Schizosaccharomyces pombe: one gene and its partners. The gene in region 1 interacts genetically with each later gene. Each region holds a gene or a part of one and is shown on either strand. Other genes may lie near its edges.

What was found.
Region 2: mutations in hrq1 (region 1) and ubc13 impair growth when combined (synthetic growth defect), as found in Schizosaccharomyces pombe (4 studies listed by BioGRID, with this or other methods).
Region 3: mutations in hrq1 (region 1) and rtt109 together harm fitness more than expected from each alone (negative genetic interaction), as found in Schizosaccharomyces pombe (2 studies listed by BioGRID).
Region 4: mutations in hrq1 (region 1) and rad13 together harm fitness more than expected from each alone (negative genetic interaction), as found in Schizosaccharomyces pombe (2 studies listed by BioGRID).

The regions. Positions count from the first base shown.
Region 1 is NC_003424.3:4,113,104-4,119,066, reverse strand, and holds hrq1 (RecQ type DNA helicase Hrq1), read left to right. Parts: upstream 1-1,852; 5' UTR 1,853-1,885; coding exon 1,886-4,958; exon of another isoform or gene 4,959-5,133; coding exon 5,134-5,252; 3' UTR 5,253-5,394; downstream 5,395-5,963. Other genes in the region: mgs1 (DNA replication ATPase), read left to right, coding at 94-685, 729-759, 805-822, 867-1,641, 1,682-1,780; mrp51 (mitochondrial 37S ribosomal protein bS1m), read left to right, coding at 5,471-5,963. UniProt on the Schizosaccharomyces pombe protein: Helicase with 3'-5' helicase activity involved in genome stability. Functions in the nucleotide excision repair (NER) pathway and plays a critical role in DNA interstrand cross-link repair.
Region 2 is NC_003424.3:5,286,680-5,289,769, reverse strand, and holds ubc13 (ubiquitin-conjugating enzyme Ubc13), read left to right. Parts: upstream 1-1,675; 5' UTR 1,676-1,688; coding exon 1,689-1,715; intron 1,716-1,757; coding exon 1,758-1,919; intron 1,920-2,071; coding exon 2,072-2,156; intron 2,157-2,213; coding exon 2,214-2,386; 3' UTR 2,387-2,590; downstream 2,591-3,090. Other genes in the region: SEA complex subunit Sea3, read right to left, coding at 1-1,378; csm1 (microtubule-site clamp monopolin complex subunit Csm1/Pcs1), read right to left, coding at 2,715-2,893, 2,949-3,090. UniProt on the Schizosaccharomyces pombe protein: Has a role in the DNA error-free postreplication repair (PRR) pathway. The ubc13/spm2 heterodimer catalyzes the synthesis of non-canonical poly-ubiquitin chains that are linked through 'Lys-63'.
Region 3 is NC_003423.3:4,212,986-4,216,564, reverse strand, and holds rtt109 (histone lysine acetyltransferase Rtt109), read left to right. Parts: upstream 1-1,803; 5' UTR 1,804-1,815; coding exon 1,816-2,925; 3' UTR 2,926-3,079; downstream 3,080-3,579. Other genes in the region: rbk1 (ribokinase), read left to right, coding at 1-418; 19S proteasome regulatory subunit Rpn12, read right to left, coding at 696-1,357, 1,409-1,559; crb2 (DNA repair protein), read right to left, coding at 3,142-3,579. UniProt on the Schizosaccharomyces pombe protein: Histone chaperone-dependent acetylase that modifies 'Lys-56' of histone H3 (H3K56ac), which occurs predominantly in newly synthesized H3 molecule during G1, S-phase and G2/M of cell cycle.
Region 4 is NC_003423.3:2,672,456-2,678,148, reverse strand, and holds rad13 (DNA repair nuclease Rad13), read left to right. Parts: upstream 1-1,579; 5' UTR 1,580-1,791; coding exon 1,792-5,130; 3' UTR 5,131-5,159; downstream 5,160-5,693. Other genes in the region: SPOM_SPBC3E7.09 (Sad1-UNC-like protein), read right to left, coding at 1-1,532; SPOM_SPBC3E7.07C (uncharacterized protein), read left to right, coding at 5,405-5,452, 5,498-5,509, 5,571-5,598, 5,642-5,693. UniProt on the Schizosaccharomyces pombe protein: Single-stranded DNA endonuclease involved in excision repair of DNA damaged with UV light, bulky adducts, or cross-linking agents. Essential for the incision step of excision-repair.

The DNA of each region.
Region 1 (5,963 bases):
TGCCAAAGGTCGCTCATTTGTATGTGTTATTGTTTCATTCCAGATTTATCTGTTTACCTTTCGTACCACATACTTTTATCTATGTAAATCAGAATGTCAGGACCAGATCATGTTCAATGTCCTGTTTGCGCGAAAACAGTTACGATGAATGACATTAATCCACACCTTGATTCACATTATTCGGACTCATCAGGCCCTTCGAAACCTGTTTCACCCTTTTTTAAAAAGGAACGCTATAAACATCATTTAGAAACAAATGTCTCATCTCACCAGAGCGCTACAAAATTTATAGAGCCTGAACCCAGCCCTACAAAGAAAACTAAACTTACAAGACGGGATACACGACCACTGGCGGAACGAGCAAGACCCAAATCACTAGATGAATATGTTGGTCAGGAAGAGCTGGTTGGTGAGCGAGGCATCATTCGTAATCTGATTGAACAAGATAGGTGCAATTCCATGATTTTATGGGGTAGTGCTGGAACTGGAAAGACTACGCTTGCTAGACTAATTGCCGTTACAACAAAATCAAGGTTCATAGAAATTTCTGCGACTTCGACGACTGTTGCTGATTGTCGTAAAATCTTTGAAGACTCACAAAATTATCTCACCTTGACAGGAAGAAAGACTATTATTTTCTTGGACGAAGTACATCGTTTCAACCGTGCGCAACAGGATATATTTTGTAAGTTTGATATTTTTTTATCTCTTCAATTAACCATGACTAGTGCCAATGGTTGAAAAGGGTCTAGTTACTCTGTAAGTGATGCATTCTAATATCACAAATGCTAACCTTTGAATTAGGATCGGCGCAACAACTGAGTATGTTTAAACACTAATGTTTTCCACCATGATTAACATTGTAGAAATCCTTCTTTCCGACTAAATTCTGCTCTCATTAGCAGATGCCCCGTTTTTGTGCTTAAGAAACTAACGCGTGATAATGTTAAGAAAATATTAAACCATGCTTGCTTACTGGAAAGTGAGCGACTAGGATCTTCTATGCCCAACGTTGAAACATCTATTATTGATTACATATCTGCTATTACAGACGGAGATGCTAGAATGGCCTTAAATGCTTTAGAAATGTCTATTGGAATGCTAAGACAAGGACCCCTGTCACTCGAAGATATTAAGGACAAGCTAGTCAGATCTTCTGCACTTTACGACAGAGTAGGTGATGTTCATTATGATACAATTTCTGCCTTCCATAAATCAGTAAGGGGTTCTGATGTCGATGCAACTTTATACTATCTGGGTAGAATGCTCGAGTCTGGAGAAGATCCACTGTATGTGGCACGAAGAATGGTTAGAATAGCAAGCGAAGACATTGGAATAGCAGATAATTCTATGCTACCTCTAGCATCCAGTACATTTACTGCTGTTCAACAAGTTGGCATGCCTGAAGCCGATGTAATTCTAGCTCATTGCGCCGTCGCCTTAGCATTAGCTCCAAAATCAGTTGACGTTTACAGATCATATAATGCTGTAAAAAGTTTTTTGTCTTCTCATCCCGATGCTGGCAGGGCTGAAATTCCCATGCATATTCGAAATGCTCCTACAAATTTGATGAAGCAATTAGGATACCATAAAGGATATAAATACAATCCGGATTATAAAGACGGATTAGTAATGCAAGAGGTAATAAAAAATATTCTTTTCAATTTGTTAACCTACTCAGTATTTACCCGATTCTATCAAGGGAACAAAGTTTTATAAGCTACCTATAGAGTTAAAAGAGGATGAAGAAATTAAAAATTTAAAAACTGATACTAAATAATTATATAAGTGATCCTTCACTAATTGTTCATTTACCACGTTATAATGGAAATCATTGTATTTCAATACCTTTGCACTTAGCCCATACTTTAATGGTGAAGGGGTAATGTCTCAAACTCCTATTAAAAAGGAAGAATCTAATGATCAGGATGATAAATTTGAATTTAAAAAATATATTAATGAAGGGAAGCTCCCTCTGAAAGCAGATAATCCCAAAAAAAAACCACAACTTGGAACTATTCAAGCTAATCAGCCTATTCCATCCATATTTGACAATCTTTTTAATTTATTCAAGGTAATTAATACTACATACACTTTTCTTTATTTGAGAAATTCTCTTACAATCACTTTTCCCCTTCTCAATTCGAGTGTTAAGCAAAGTTTGAAAAAGGAGTTGACAATCGGCGATTTATCTCAGCTAAGAGAAATATGTCCTCAAATAATTGAATTAAATTATAAATCACTTGCTAGCCTTGCATTAGAAATCAATAAAAATGTTTACACTGATCTAAACCCTGAGTTGTACACTGGTTCAACGGTCTCACAGAGTTCTGAATATGTTTTGGTTATTGAGCTTTTAGAAACGCAAGAGAGAAGTTCCAAACGAAGGAGACGTGAAGGCCCAACAATGAAGGCTAATATCCAGAGGCAAAAGCTGGATTTTAATAATTTGAAGAAAGCCATAGAGTTACGAAACCAAAAGTTCCTTCAAGGGATTAAAGAATATATAAAAAAATGTCAATTGACAGAACTTGACCCAACGCAACAGCTATTAACTCAATCCCGGAAAAACCAGCCGGTTCCTCCTGATTCACCGAGTATTCCTAATGATTCAATAGAAAACTGCAATTTAAATACTAAAGCGTGCTCAATTGAAGAACTTTTAAATGAAATAGCTTCTGAATCTTCTTACGAAGGGCAAATAGTCCAAGAAGCTTTACATACTTATCCTGCTGTTGAAGCACAATATGGAGCGTTGTCTCGACCTTTGTCTCAAGAGCTTATAAATGCTCTTTATACATCTAGAAACATCGAAAAGACATACAAACATCAGGCAGACGCTATCAACCACCTTTGGAACGGATTTCATGTTATAGTGTCAACTTCTACATCTAGTGGAAAGTCTTTGATTTACCAAATTCCAATTTTACAAAGTTTGTTAGAAGATAATCAATCTACGGCATTTTTTGTATTCCCTACTAAATCTTTAGCCCAAGATCAGAAGAAGTCGTTAATCGATATACTTAGCTATATGCCGACGCTTAAGAATATTCGAGTGGACACCTTCGATGGGGATACACCACTTGAGTCTAGAGAAAGTATTATTAGATCTGCAAATATAATCTTTACGAATCCGGATATGTTACATCAAACGATTCTTCCCAATGCTAATCGTTGGTATTATTTCTTTAAAAACCTGAAACTTTTCGTCCTGGATGAAGCTCATGTGTACAATGGAATATTTGGCGTTCACGTTGCTTTTGTTCTAAGAAGGATGCGCCGTATTGCTGAGTACTTTGGAAATAGTCAATATCGATTTGTATCATGCTCGGCTACTATTGAGGATCCTTTACAACATATGAAAAAAATTTTTGGAGTAGATAATATAAAACTAATTAACTATACTTCTTCTCCTTCTGGTTCAAAAAAATTTGTAATGTGGAATCCACCTTATGTCGACCCCAAGCATCCTGATGATGGAAAGAAAAGCGCAATCTCTGAAGCCTCGAAACTGCTTATTAAATTTGCCGAAAAGCGGGTGCGTACAATTGTTTTCTGTCGTGTTCGAAAAACCTGTGAGTCGTTAATGAGACTAGTGAGGCAGGAATTAAAAACCAAACAAAAAGGAGATCTTTTATCTAAGATTCAATCGTATAGGGCTGGGTATACGGTTCAGGAACGCAGGAAGATAGAGAGTGAAATGTTTAACGGGAAATTATATGGGATTATTGCGACGAATGCTTTAGAGCTAGGTATTGATATAGGATCACTGGATGCCGTTATAACCATAGGATTTCCATATTCTTTGTCTAACTTGCGCCAGCAATTTGGTCGTGCTGGTAGAAGGAATAAGTCTTCCTTAGCAGTATATATAGTTGAGACATTTCCCGTTGATCAGTTTTATTTAAAGCATCCTATTTTGATTCACACTCAACCAAATGCTGAACTCACTTTAGACTTGACAAATGAGGTATTACTAGCGAGTCATCTTCAGTGTGCTGCATATGAGCTTCCCATTAACATAAGGAGCGACGAAAAGTTTTTTGGAAATCAAATTCAAGACATTTGCGAAGCAAATTTAGAAATGGTTGAAGAGAGTTATCGGCCTCATCCAAAATATCTTCCTTTTCCTGCCTCGCAGGTACGGATACGAAGCGTTAGTGAAGACATGTTTACTCTCGTCGATGTCACAAATGATAAGAATGTTATTCTAGAACTCCTCGAACCTTTTCGTGTTGCATTAACTGCTTACGAAGGTGCAGTTTATGTTTATCAAGGAAAAACGTTTATCATTAGGCTCCTAAATATTAACAAGAGAATTATTACTGCTCATCAAGTTGATGTTGAATGGTCAACATTGCAAAGAGATTTCACAGATGTTGATCCTGTTCGCAGCTTAATGAAGAAGACTATGCATGGAAGTACAAACATTTATTTTGGGGCTGTTAAAGCAACATTACATGTATTTGGGTATTTCAAAGTTAACAAGCAGAAAGATATTCTGGACGTGGTAGATATTACCGATCATCCTGTTGAAATTGATAGTCGAGGTTTCTGGATAGATGTACCTTGGCATATCATTGAGGTTTTGTCATTAAAAAAAATAAATGGAGCCGCTAGTATACATGCTGCCCAACATGCTTTACTTTCGTTGATGCCAATTTTTATTAGTAACAGCGGTAACGATATTCGAACAGAATGTAAAGCGGGTGAAAAGGAGTATAAAGAGGCTAAAAGCGAGCGAAGACGTCCTTCCCGACTCATTTTCTATGATAATTGTGGTGATTCATCTGGTGCTGGTTTATGCAACAAGGCATATGAACATACTGATGAATTAATTACAATGGCCATTGAGCGAATTGAGAGTTGCGATTGCAAAGTTCGTGAAGGTTGTCCCGGATGTATTACGAGTTCAAAATTTGAAGGCGGAGTTTGCTCTGGAGAAGTACTTGACAAGGGTAAGTATAGATATACTTTGCATTTTTTGTTGGACGGTGAAGCAATCCCGTATAGATTGGTCGCTTAGTAGTTTGTAAGATAACACTCTCATTTTTTTTATGATCAAATGAAAAGGGATTGCTTGCAAACTTAAATAGATTATTCACATTACTTCTACTAACATATTTCTTTCAGTTGGCGCTTTAATCTTATTGAAAATGCTACTGTGTCAACATGTAAATTTAGATATATATGCTGATGGACCAGAGATTGATTCATATCACGCTTTGCGAACTTTAATACCTTCTTGTTAATAATTGAATTTATTTTTTTTATTTTGTTTATATTAGACTAAATTATTAGTTAGTACTACTAATATTGCGTTGTGCTTTTTGATTTTACATTTAAACCCTACCCTAACTTACCGGAGTCAATGTTAGATACTGACAGCGCTCAGTGCTTACTACCGTACAGCCACCGTTCTCCTCATAGAAGCCAAGTCCCAATATAAATCTTGAATTTTTGTAAAAATATGAGTTTTGCACAAATTCTCCGTGGCTCGAGGGCAATGGCTTCTCCAAAATGTCTTCCAGAATCCAATTATTCAACATCACACCTTCGGTTTCCTCGATTGCAATCCATAACTTCAAAAAAAAATAGTAGAGCTCGTGGTGATTGGGGACTGAAAAGGACTCTTCCAAAAATAAAGACAAGATACATATGTGTGCGGCAGCAAGATTCCTTATACAAGCAAGCAGATTTTCAATCAAGCGCTAAATTTGTTCGTCTAGTTCGCAATTGGTTTGATGCTGGATTTGTACGAGATCCTTCTGAAGTTGCTTTGTTGCAAGAATTATTGAAAGAAACGGGGTTGAAAGATACGCGTGACATAAATAAGGTATTTTCTCCTTCTAAACAATCCGACGAAAATGATAACTTTCGCCGTTACGGAGTTTCTGGCGGTATTCAATACAGTAATGTTCCTTTAATTAATTCTCGAGTAACACCTAATTGTGAATCAAATT
Region 2 (3,090 bases), 1.2 Mb from region 1:
TCCATACTGGAGAATCAGTGGTAATTAAATGCTCAGGCTCCTCTGTTGACTTTTCATAGTTCCAAAACTTAACTGTTCGATCCATAGCACAAGTTAATAGGCGAGTTTCACATGCTCTATTGAATTCAAGACCATTAATTTTAGTAATATTTTCGGAAGTTTTAATTGTATGAAGTGGGGCGGATCCATAACGATCGTCCCAAATCCTTACTAAACGTCCATGGCTAGAAGCAAGTATGTGGGGATTTTTATAATTCCATTTTACCTGAGTAGCTCCGTTATGCCAATCGTAAAAGGAGTTAACAGGAAATCGAGGACTACGCAAATCCCAACAGTGAACAGAGGAATCAATTGAACAAGTGGCAAGAACATCAGGATTTTGCCGATGCCAGTTCATATCTGTGACGGCGCGGGTGTGTCCATGTAACATAAATTCTATAGCACGATCATTTGGTAGTGCAAGGTTCCATACTATCGTTTTTTGACTTGATGTAGAAACCACCCATTGGTCTCTTGCGGCATGAACATTCCACTGAGTATCAGCAACTTCCCAAGGAGTAGAATGTCTTAGCATTCTTGGTGGATTATAAGGATTATCAAGATCTAAGACTAGTAAACCATAACGTGAAGCTAAAGCTATATCTCTACCACAAGGAGATAAAGACATAGCACCCACTGGTTGATTAACTTCAATTGATAATTGTCTATCAAACGTAGTACTATCAAAAGGGCCGTATTCCACATTGCTGTTAGAATTCGATGGTAACTGCAAGTCTTCATCTTCGGAAGGGATGATGACCGTGGAATCCATATTTCTTCGCAACCGACCAGAAACACCCTGAGAGTTAAAAGATATTCGACGAGATCCATAACTACCATCGTCAAAAGAAGAAGATGATATGGAAGTTAAACCTTGCAACCTTTGTGTCGGTGTTTGAGAATATGCAACAATGGTACTAGACCTTACACTTTCTGAAAAATTTGCAAAGGAGTTAGAAGCTTTTTTAATTAATATCTTAGAATCGTTTAGCTTATTGTCCAACGTTTCTGAGTGATCTTTAGAGATTGTTGACGATGAAGCTAGTTGATCACCGTCTTGTGCAGTGTTTGATTGAGCGCTTAGAGCAGTGGACGATTCATGGATCATTGATTCAAGACTGTCTTTCTCCAATTCAAAGTTGCATAATTCCCCGCTATCATCCATATTATAGTATGAAGATGGGTTTTCAGAATTAAATTGCTTATTGGGGTAATTCAAGGTACGTTCATCTTGAAGAGATTTCAATGAATGTTCATAATCAATAGGCGAAGAATTTTTTACAACCGAATCACTCGGAGGAGACTTTCTTGAAGAATCGTCTCCCTGTAATTCCCTCATCTTTTTCGATATGGGCCAGGTGACTGTAGCAATTTCAGGATTCTGAATCTTTTTTTTTATAAAAAAACAAATTAAATTTTATACAATATTATGAATATTAATAATAATAAACTAAGAAGCCATGGCTACTTGTCAATTGCTAATACTATTCTTAGCTAGAGCCGTGGAGATTTTATTATCACTCACTATTTGTATTATGTTTTACGTCACTCCTTATATAGAATAGTGTATCAATCTCTCCAGTTTCTCCTTAAACCAAGTACTTATTGTGTGTACAGCATGCATTCTAGGAAGTCCAAGTATATGAACAATGGCTTTGCCTAAGCGTATTATTAAGGTTTGCGCTTTCTGTTAGCATTTTTCAACTAATAATTGGTAGGAAATTGAAACCCTTACGAGAGATCCTCCACCCGGAATTGTAGCGGCTCCCACTGAAGATAATCTTCGCTATTTTAAAATTACTATGGAAGGGCCTCAGCAATCAGCTTATGAAGGTGGAAAATTTCACTTAGAGCTGTTTCTTCCTGATGAGTATCCAATGGTAGGTTTTTTTTGAAAACACAGTATTGAGCCTACCATGGTCCTTTTGCTAGCCCTGCTAGTTCAACAAAAATTTGAAGAATGGCATTGTCAGTTTCAAACTGTCTTCAAAAAATTGTATAATTGTGTAATTTGAGTTTTAACAACTATTAGATGCCTCCCAATGTTCGTTTTCTTACTAAAATTTATCATCCAAACGTTGATAAATTAGGTCGCATATGTTTATCTACGTTAAAAAGTATGTTAAACTTCACACGTTTCATCTTATTTTGGTGTACTAACATTAATAAATCAGAGGATTGGAGTCCTGCTTTACAAATTCGAACCGTGCTACTTTCGATACAGGCATTAATGGGTGCTCCCAACCCAGATGACCCTTTAGACAATGATGTTGCAAAGATTTGGAAAGAAAATGAGCCACAGGCAATTGCAAATGCCCGTGAATGGACGAAAAAGTATGCAGTTTGATTACTTATGATAGTCCAATGCTTATGGTTATCACTAGAATAATAATATATTACGATATCAATAGCTTTCTATATACAGTCTTTGATTTGAATTCTACCCATTTCCTTAAGTTTTTTGCATTCAATTTTTTCCTAAGCGGTTAAGGTCTTTTCGAATAAAAGATGTAAAAATTAATAATAGATAATTATGGTAGCAGAATACAAACATCGCAGCTTTTGACGGACGATGAAAAAAGTGATATCTCGACGAGCACAATTAATTTAAGATATAGTGCTATTCATATAACAAGGAAGTATTAAAGTTTAAGCAAAATCCATAGTTATTATTGTTAATCTTGCAAAGCTTTCATTAATCTAGCAGAAAATAATTTTCCTTGTTCTTTCGTAAAGATAATTTCCTCCAACAAATAGTCTGGTAAATGTTTCATAAGCTCCTCATCAGTTTGAACATTCAGACGTGGAGTAAATGTAAAGTTTTGATCATCTAACAAGAGCTGATATTCGAGTGCTATAATAATATCCTGTTAGCTTGAAATTATTTCTAAATCCCTTAAAGCACTTACTCCCTCTCCTTCCAGTGTTTTTACAGTTGAAACGATATCCATCCTCGTCCTCTATACAGTCTGCAACTTCTAATCCGAAAAGCTCCTTTATAAGTATATTAATTTTTGAATAGTTTTTTATTTGCTCTCGAGTTTTCAATAA
Region 3 (3,579 bases), on another chromosome or scaffold:
GATATCTTATTGTGCCTATCTTGTACCTAACGAACATGAAGCTGCCATTCTCTTAAATCAAGCAGACTCACCTGCTACGTTGGAAAATGTGGATGCATATGCTTCTAAGTTACTAAGCTTCGGTGTCCGTAAAGCCGTAATTATAACCCTTGGTAGCCAAGGTGCTTACTATAAGTCTGCGAACGGAGAATCTGCTTTGGTCTCAGCATGCAAAGTGAAAGCCGTTGACACGACTGCCGCTGGCGATACCTTCATTGGTGCCTTTTCTAATTCAATTGCACACGGACAGCCACTTAAGGACTCACTGGAATTTGCTGCTAAATGTAGTGCTATTACTGTACAGAGAAAGGGAGCTGCAAGTTCTATTCCTTCCTTACTTGAAGTCGATGGTTCCTTTAACCTAAAAAAGAATACATAGCCTCTGGCTTTTACGCGTTACCTTACAAAGGGAAGAAAAAAGCATAATTCGATTTTAGATTTCTACACATTCTTATCTCATATAACTTCATCAACTCTTTTTCAGTATTGAACATAAACTTGCATGTTGCTCAAGTTAATGAGAACAAAAGGTATCTCTTACGAATAATAAAGGTTATAGCATAAAATATGATTCGTTTGTTAATAAGAGGGAAGTGAAATAAACGCCTTGACTTTTGTAGAAAGAGTAATTACCATCAAACAAGATGTTTGATTCATTAAACAATCTGCTCTAATTCTGAGGTGTAACTCAGTAATTGACGAATACTCGAAATTGTGTGCTTGCTAGCAGTGGGAGGAAGCTCCAATTCGTCTTCCTCATCAATAAGCATACCATCCTCCGTCTCCAAAGCATTGGCCTCTTTGGGAAAGTATATTACACCGTCTCTAATATCCCAGCCTCGTTCTTCAGCAAGTTTTTCGGTTTCCTTAGTGTTTTCCAGGTACAGCAAACTTGTTGCATTAGATAAGGGGATTTCTGAATACACTTTCTCGGCACAAGTCGCAATTTCGTTTCGAACCATACTCATAACAATTTTCATAAAATAACTAAACTCAGGAAAGTTACAGGATCGAATCATGGATGCTACCTTATCAAATGCACCTTCCATTACATTTTGTTCTAGAGAAATAACCCATTCTACGTACGGATCTCTTTCAAATAACGATTTGTCAGGAACGGATTCCAAGGCTGTGTGAAATTCAGCGATACGATTTTCAGATAATAGATACAACAAATTTAATCCTGTAACAAGTCCCATCCTTGATGAAGGGACAAGGGAATCATGATAAAAAGGAATTACTTGGCTAGCATACCTTGCAAACGATTCAATATCACAAGTTTGAATCGAGACAAGTACACCGTATTCAAATACATTTCCTATAAGGAAGATTAGAGGTCTGTTCTTAGATAACTATACAAATAACATACTGGCAAAACTAGCTTTCTCTTTATCGCTAGTAGGGACGAAGAGGTTCTGCTTAGCAAGTTCGACTTTCAGTTTCAGAAGTTCCTTTTTACAAGCATTCCAATCCTTTCTGTCATAAAGATCTGCTAAATGGTTCAAGTCTAATGTACTCATATTGATGTGTATTGAGAGTGTAATAAGTTGGAACTTTTAAGAGAGCTGTAGAAACAACACCTCTTGCCATGCATCTCAGAATAGTCATCAATAACGAACACACTATAAAGGTTTACCAGCAAAAATTAAAGCTCCTTACGGATTTTGACGTTGTTTTATTAGATTCATTATATCACTTAAGCAATTGTAACATAGTATTCACTCACAATAATTGCTGTAGTTGCGTTAACTCTCTTTATCCTTTAAACTAAAGAATATGCCGGATCTTTGGTCAGAAAGTATATTAGAAGGCAGAAAATTGAGTATTTATCATCTTAAAAGTACTTTAGAGAAATGTCCATTTCTATTTGGTCAAAGTAAGAAGTCTAAGGATTTTCAATTTGGGAGTCATCTTTTTTTGGTAGAGGAACAAAATGTATTTATTTTTGGCATGGAATGCATAGTTTACGAAAAAAACAAAGAGTTTATAGTATTTGTATCTAAAGCAGATTCTACCGGATTCGGCAGCAAAGGGGTATCTTGTAACTCTCTTGCTTTTTGCTGCTTAGTGACACTTATTGACGGTCTTAGAAAACAAGGAGCCGAAAATGTAACTTTGACTCTGTTTGCGATTGCTCAAGGTCAATATTTATTTCCTGAGTCGGTGGACAATGGACAAAAGCATGTGCTGAATGATTCTGGTTTGTTACGCTGGTGGGTAAATTGTTTGGAAAAACTCAGGAAGTATTATACTGACAGTGAAGCACCAAACGATTCCGAAAAGCAAAAGAATTCCACATTACTTCCTAAGGCTTATTTATTTGTTCCTGGACTTGAAAATATTCGTTCGTACTTACCCAATCGTCATTGGATTGAAAGCAACGCTATAACAACTGGAAAAGCAGTTGAAGAATTACCAAGATTTCCAGATGACCCAAAATGTAGGTATTTATGCGAGCTTCAAGATGAGAAAAGTGACATGTCCGTTGAAGAGTTTTGGGATACGCTGACTTATAGACAAGAGTGCTCCTCAGGTAAACTAGTTGGCTTTTTCACATTACAGCTACAGTTCTATCAAACAAGAGAATTTATTGCTAAAGATAATTTTGGTGATTCTGGTGTAATGATTCCAGCTAAATTATACAGAGTCACTTACGATACTTTATTGAAGCATCCATTTGGCTCTTTATCTGATGCACAGTCGTCAACAGAAAAGTTTCTTAGTAACACACTTTCCGCTGTACAAAATTTAAAGGATTTTCATTATAAGCGCTACAAGCTAGATATATGTGGGTTGGCAAAACGTGATGATCGTAAAAATCACAACCATTCGAAACCTGCTACGCAAGCCAATATTCTACAGCCACGAAAAAAAGTGAAAAAATAAAGGACTTTAAGTTCGTTGAAAATTTTTAATAATCCCAATCAATCCTCTCATGTAGATTTTTAGAGAAAGTTTTTGTTTAATATTGAAATTGACACTTTTCGTCAGTATTGCAAATAAATTAATAAACAACAAATATCTAAAATTAATAAAAAGCTAAATTAATGAGAGTGAAACTCAGGGGGAGTTAGTAAAAATAACTATATCAAAAAACCAAAACTAAGTAGAAATATCAGACTGACTAATAAGACATTCGACTATCCATTCAGGATCAACGACCGGACAATTAGTTTCATCTACAATGTTTCCATCCATCGTAAGTATCAAATCACACTCCAAATGTGCAACATTTGGTCTAATTTCAACGTCAGCACCCAATGCCAACGCGTGATAGACATGAGCCAAAGCTTTTTGACCCTGCTCTGTATTTTCAATCTTTTTCTGCCAAGATTTTGCTTCAGGTATAATAAATAAAATCTTTTTTCCAAATAAAGGACCCTTCCTTGCCAAAAGTCTGTCATATAAAGAATCAGTGGTATCAAAAGGTTCTATCCGTTGGGAAAGTGTACAATCTAGACGGTGTGAATAGCCAGATGCCAATAAATAAGGAGAAAAATCAACAACTCTGTTCATTTTTAAGCACTGTTTAATAAATTG
Region 4 (5,693 bases), on another chromosome or scaffold:
ATTTCTAATTGAAGGGTCGAGTTCAATTCATGTAATAGCTGCGTAAAATTCATGTTTTTGGCATTGTGCTTACCATAATTTGTTAATATTTTTTCTACAATTTCATCAAATGCCTTCTTCCGTTCTTCTAAGGTAGAAAGACGCTTATTTATGTTTTTGTAAATGCTTTCCTGATTAGAAGGAAAGGTAGATATTTGAGCGGTACTGTAAGAAGATGAAGAAGATGGAGAAATATCGTTAAAAGAGCGAGTTGATGTTGCAGGATATGATTCACTTTTTCCTGTTTCATTTCCTATAACAACAGTGCTCAAAGACTTAGATATCACAGTAGAAGAAAGTAAGGTGTCTGTACTATTCAACTCGACTGATGGATTCTTTCTCACTGGTTTGCTTTGAACATCGGTATCTTCTTCGTCCACAAAAATAGGACTTTCTTGAGGCTTCCGGATTTCATCTGCTTTAATAGCGCTTCCGTCGTTCACTTTTTGTTCTAAGAAGTCTTCATTTGCTTCTTCAAATTCTTCTATCATAGTTTTTCCATAAACCCTAAGTAGGCTTACAGGACAATAAAATTCTGACCCATAATGAGTTAAAAACTCTATTTTAAGATACTTCGCCCAAATAAGAGGGTTCTCAATATGAAAAGATTGAAGAGTCCTTAGGTTTAAGGCCGTAAATGTACCCAATTCCATCCAAGAAGACTCGTATTTTGGATATTTACCGCTTACACTGACCTTGAAATCACGAAATATACTTGAAAAAAATTCGAAGTTGGCAATTTGAACTGTATCGACATAAATATCCTCACAAAGTTCAATTACCACGAACTTGTTTTCAGCGGAACATTTGTTCAGCATATATTTGTCTTTGTTTTCGGTCAGAATCGAAGAAGATCCGACTGCTTCAGGATTTGTTTTAATGACAGCAGCAGCGCAGTCAGTTGAAGCAAAGTTGAATCTTTTTTCTTCTGAGAATGCAACAGTCTTTTCATCTATATTTGAATCAATTGTAGCTGCTGCTGAAGTAGAGGAACCATCCTCAGAAATTGGTAGAGTAACCGAAGAACTAGTAATAATATTAGTATCAATAACTTCCGTTACAGAATAGTTTTGCTCTAGCTTCTTTGAGGATGAAATTGTAGACGTCTCGTTCACCAATGGTGGGCTAATTGAATCTATAAATTCGCTAGTACTTGTTCCATTGGAATATTCATATTTTGACAAAAAATTAGAAGAAATGGTATCACTTCCATTCAAACTCGTTTTTGTGTGAAACGAAGGTTCCTGGTACTTATTTGTGGGAGTGAAATCCCATGTTGTAGGGTTGCTAGCTTCTTTTTCTTCAGATTTGGTAGCAATCACAGAAAGGTACGCATCACATACCAAATTTTCGTTATGCGTATCTGGTGACTTCAAACACAATGCCGGATATTTACACCAATGACTCGTTTGTGGAGAGCAGCAGCATAACCGAAATATAATAAAATAAATTAAAAAGGCATTTCCAAATGCAGACAATCTTCTTTTGACCATATGATTTAGGCAGCCCTATCAGTTTAATGTGGTAATTGGCTCAAGTCAAGTGCCACACACTAAAGTGTTAGCATCAATCATCGCACATGCCCTTGTTTTATCGCTTTGTTGGTAAAACATGTCTTTTATAACGATTTTAATTAAAAAAGAAGAAAAAGGGTAAAGAAAAAGGCTTGCTTTAATCACATTTCTTCGTATAATAATCAAAAATAAAGTCGTCTACAACGAAACTTCTTGACATCGCATATAATATTTTGCAATGGGGGTTTCAGGTCTTTGGGATATTTTAGAACCGGTAAAAAGGCCTGTCAAGCTAGAAACACTTGTTAACAAACGGTTGGCAATTGACGCTTCAATTTGGATTTATCAATTCTTAAAGGCCGTACGTGACAAAGAAGGAAACCAGCTGAAAAGCAGTCATGTTGTAGGATTTTTTAGAAGGATATGCAAACTATTATTTTTTGGGATTAAACCTGTATTTGTTTTTGATGGAGGAGCGCCGTCATTGAAACGCCAAACTATCCAAAAAAGACAAGCCAGAAGACTCGACAGGGAGGAAAATGCCACGGTCACGGCCAATAAACTTCTGGCTTTGCAAATGAGGCATCAGGCAATGCTTTTAGAGGAAAATAATAAAAAAGCTACTGCATTGGCAAATGCCTCGGTTCAAAATGAGAGACAAATGCCTTCATCTATGACATTGGATAATTCAGAAATTAAGCCAGTACTTAATCAAAGAAAAAATTATTTGAAGCCTGATCCATACCAACTACCTGAAATGGACGTTTCGTTTGATAAGTTAGGGTCGAGTTACGACCCTCGAATTATGTCCCAGGATGAGCTTACACAATATGTCTCTAGTTTTACTAAAATTGAAGATATAAATTTATTTGATTTTTCAAATATTGATTTTGACTCTGAATTATTTCAATCATTACCCGATACGGATAAATATAGTATTTTAAGTGCAGCAAGATTACGCTCTCGTTTACGAATGGGTTTAAGCTCTGAACAACTTTCCGAGATGTTTCCTAATAGAATGGATTTCTCTCGTTTTCAAATTGAGAGACTGAAGGAACGTAACGATTTAACTCAGAGATTAATGGACTTTACTGGAATGAATGAGTTTGGACCCTCTAGAGTAGTAAGTGAAAAAAACCGAGAATATATTTTAGTAAAAAACGAAGGTGCTGAAGGTGGATGGGCTCTCGGTGTTATCTCAGGATCTACAAACAATGAACCTATTATTATTGATGATGAGGCTACAAAACTTAGCAGCAATCTTATAGACGAAGACGAGGATGAGGCATTCTACGATGTGCCTTTACCTAGCCGATCTCATAGCATGAACCCTAGAGAATTGGTAGCCGCTAAATTAAAGGAAATAAAAGAAAATTCATTTTCGGAAAATCAGCAATCAGATGAAGCAGATTATAATGTTACTGATGATTTAATACTTCAATTAGCAACCCAGCAATCTCTAGAGGAAAACAAAAAATCAAAAGAGCTGTTTAGTCTTTCGGCTTCTGAGTTTGATAAGTTGAATAGCGAGAAAAAGACGTTTGAAATTTTGTCGACCGATATTCCTGCAGAGGATTCAATGAATTCACTTCTTAACGACGAGGAAAATTTGAAACTTGAACATGTTGGAGATGTTTCCAATGATTCATTAGCATTCGCGGAAAAAAAGCATCCTGAAAATGGGACTTCAATTTTTATGGATGCCCTTCCATCTGCGAGTAGAGAGAAAAAAACCAATGATTTAATTGATCCTTTACCTTTTCAGCCTATGGATTGGGGAAAGTCTATTTTTTTCGAGAAATTAAAGAAACCAACTGAAACATTTATGGATTCTAAAACTGATATACCAAGTGAGGCACCGGATAATTCTAAACTTGTGGAAGATACAAATTTACATACTATTAATGCAACAGTTAATATTGAATCCGATTTAGACGCTGCTAAACCTGGAATTGAAAATCCAATTATTTCACCTCTTCTTCCGGTAAAAGATGATGAAAAAGATTTAGACTTACGTGAACTCAATCCTTTGGAACCCTTTGAGAATATGAAAGAACAAGCTGATGATGGCACAGTTACCAACCCATTAAATGTTTCTAGTGATAAGGCCATGTCAGTGTATTTATTGAGCTCCGAAAATGCTAAGGATACTGGGGATATCAAATCCGAATCAATTGACGCTGTTCTTCCTACTTTAGAGACCAGCAGCCCTTCACTTAGCATTCCAACTGACTTTCAAAAAGAAGCCTCTCCAAATAAAGGAGCTGCTGCCTTGAGTTCGAAAGTAGAGCCTGAAGTGGTTGAAAAACTTTTAGATGAGGAAGAAGAGGAAATGATTATCAGGATGGCAGAAGAAGAAAAGGAATATGATCGGTTTGTTTCAGAACTCAATCAACGACATGAAACTGAAGAGTGGAATCAAGAGGCCTTTGAAAAAAGGTTGAAAGAGCTCAAAAATCAAAAAAGGTCTGAAAAACGTGATGCGGATGAGGTCACTCAAGTAATGATTAAAGAATGTCAAGAACTTCTGCGTTTATTTGGCTTACCATATATCGTTGCTCCTCAAGAAGCAGAAGCCCAGTGTTCTAAACTTTTGGAGCTAAAGCTGGTTGATGGGATTGTTACTGATGACTCAGACGTGTTTCTTTTTGGTGGAACTCGGGTATATCGAAATATGTTTAATCAGAACAAATTTGTCGAACTCTATTTAATGGATGATATGAAAAGAGAATTTAATGTGAATCAAATGGATTTAATTAAGTTGGCACATCTTTTGGGAAGTGATTATACTATGGGACTTTCTAGGGTAGGTCCAGTTCTTGCACTGGAGATTTTACATGAATTTCCTGGTGACACTGGACTTTTTGAATTTAAAAAATGGTTTCAACGTTTATCAACTGGACACGCATCAAAAAATGATGTTAATACGCCAGTAAAAAAGAGAATTAACAAGTTGGTTGGAAAAATTATTTTACCATCAGAATTTCCTAATCCGTTAGTTGATGAAGCTTATCTTCATCCGGCCGTGGATGATAGCAAGCAATCGTTTCAATGGGGCATACCCGACCTTGACGAGTTACGCCAGTTTTTGATGGCTACTGTGGGTTGGTCAAAACAACGAACTAATGAAGTTTTACTTCCGGTTATACAAGACATGCATAAAAAGCAATTCGTGGGTACACAGTCCAATTTGACTCAGTTTTTTGAAGGTGGTAATACTAATGTATATGCGCCGAGAGTTGCATACCATTTTAAGAGTAAACGGCTTGAAAATGCTCTTTCATCTTTTAAAAATCAGATTAGCAATCAAAGCCCAATGAGTGAAGAAATTCAGGCAGACGCAGATGCATTTGGTGAATCTAAAGGATCAGATGAACTACAAAGCCGTATTCTTAGAAGGAAGAAAATGATGGCAAGCAAAAATTCCTCTGATTCAGATTCAGACTCTGAAGATAACTTTTTAGCAAGTTTAACTCCGAAGACGAATTCTTCTTCAATTTCTATTGAGAATCTACCTAGAAAAACCAAGCTTAGTACTAGCTTACTAAAAAAACCCAGCAAAAGAAGAAGAAAATAAGTTTAATAAATTATTTATTTATTTGTTTACTTAACTGGTTGTTCCTATAAAAGAAGTTACTGTAATTTTTTGTTGAGTAAATTTTTTTGAGTTTTCCTGCTGTAACTGTGTTTAGACAAAGTAATTGAGCAACATAGCTTATATTTTGTGATTTATTCGTGTTTTGATTATTTACAATTTTTCTTGCTCTTTGTTACCTTACCTAATGTCACTTTCTACTACAACCTACTTAGCAGCAGTAAAGTAAAAACGGAGAAACAGAATATTTTTCGAAATGTTAAGTACAAAAATTGATGCGGAAAATGCGGAAAATGCCGCCGAGGTAAGCCTTGGTTATTATTTATTTAATAATACTTACAGATTTTAGATTGAAATGCAGGTACGTGGTTGTAGAAAGTATTTAGTTTTGGTAAAGCATGTACTGATTTAAAAAATTTTAGTTTGCAGTAAAAGCTGTTGAACAGGCTCGTAAGTTGAGCAAAATATGATGGAATAAAAAATAACAATTTAGAAATATACTGGAGTCTTTTGGAAATGCGCAAGGGAAGCGAGTTAAAGCTGAC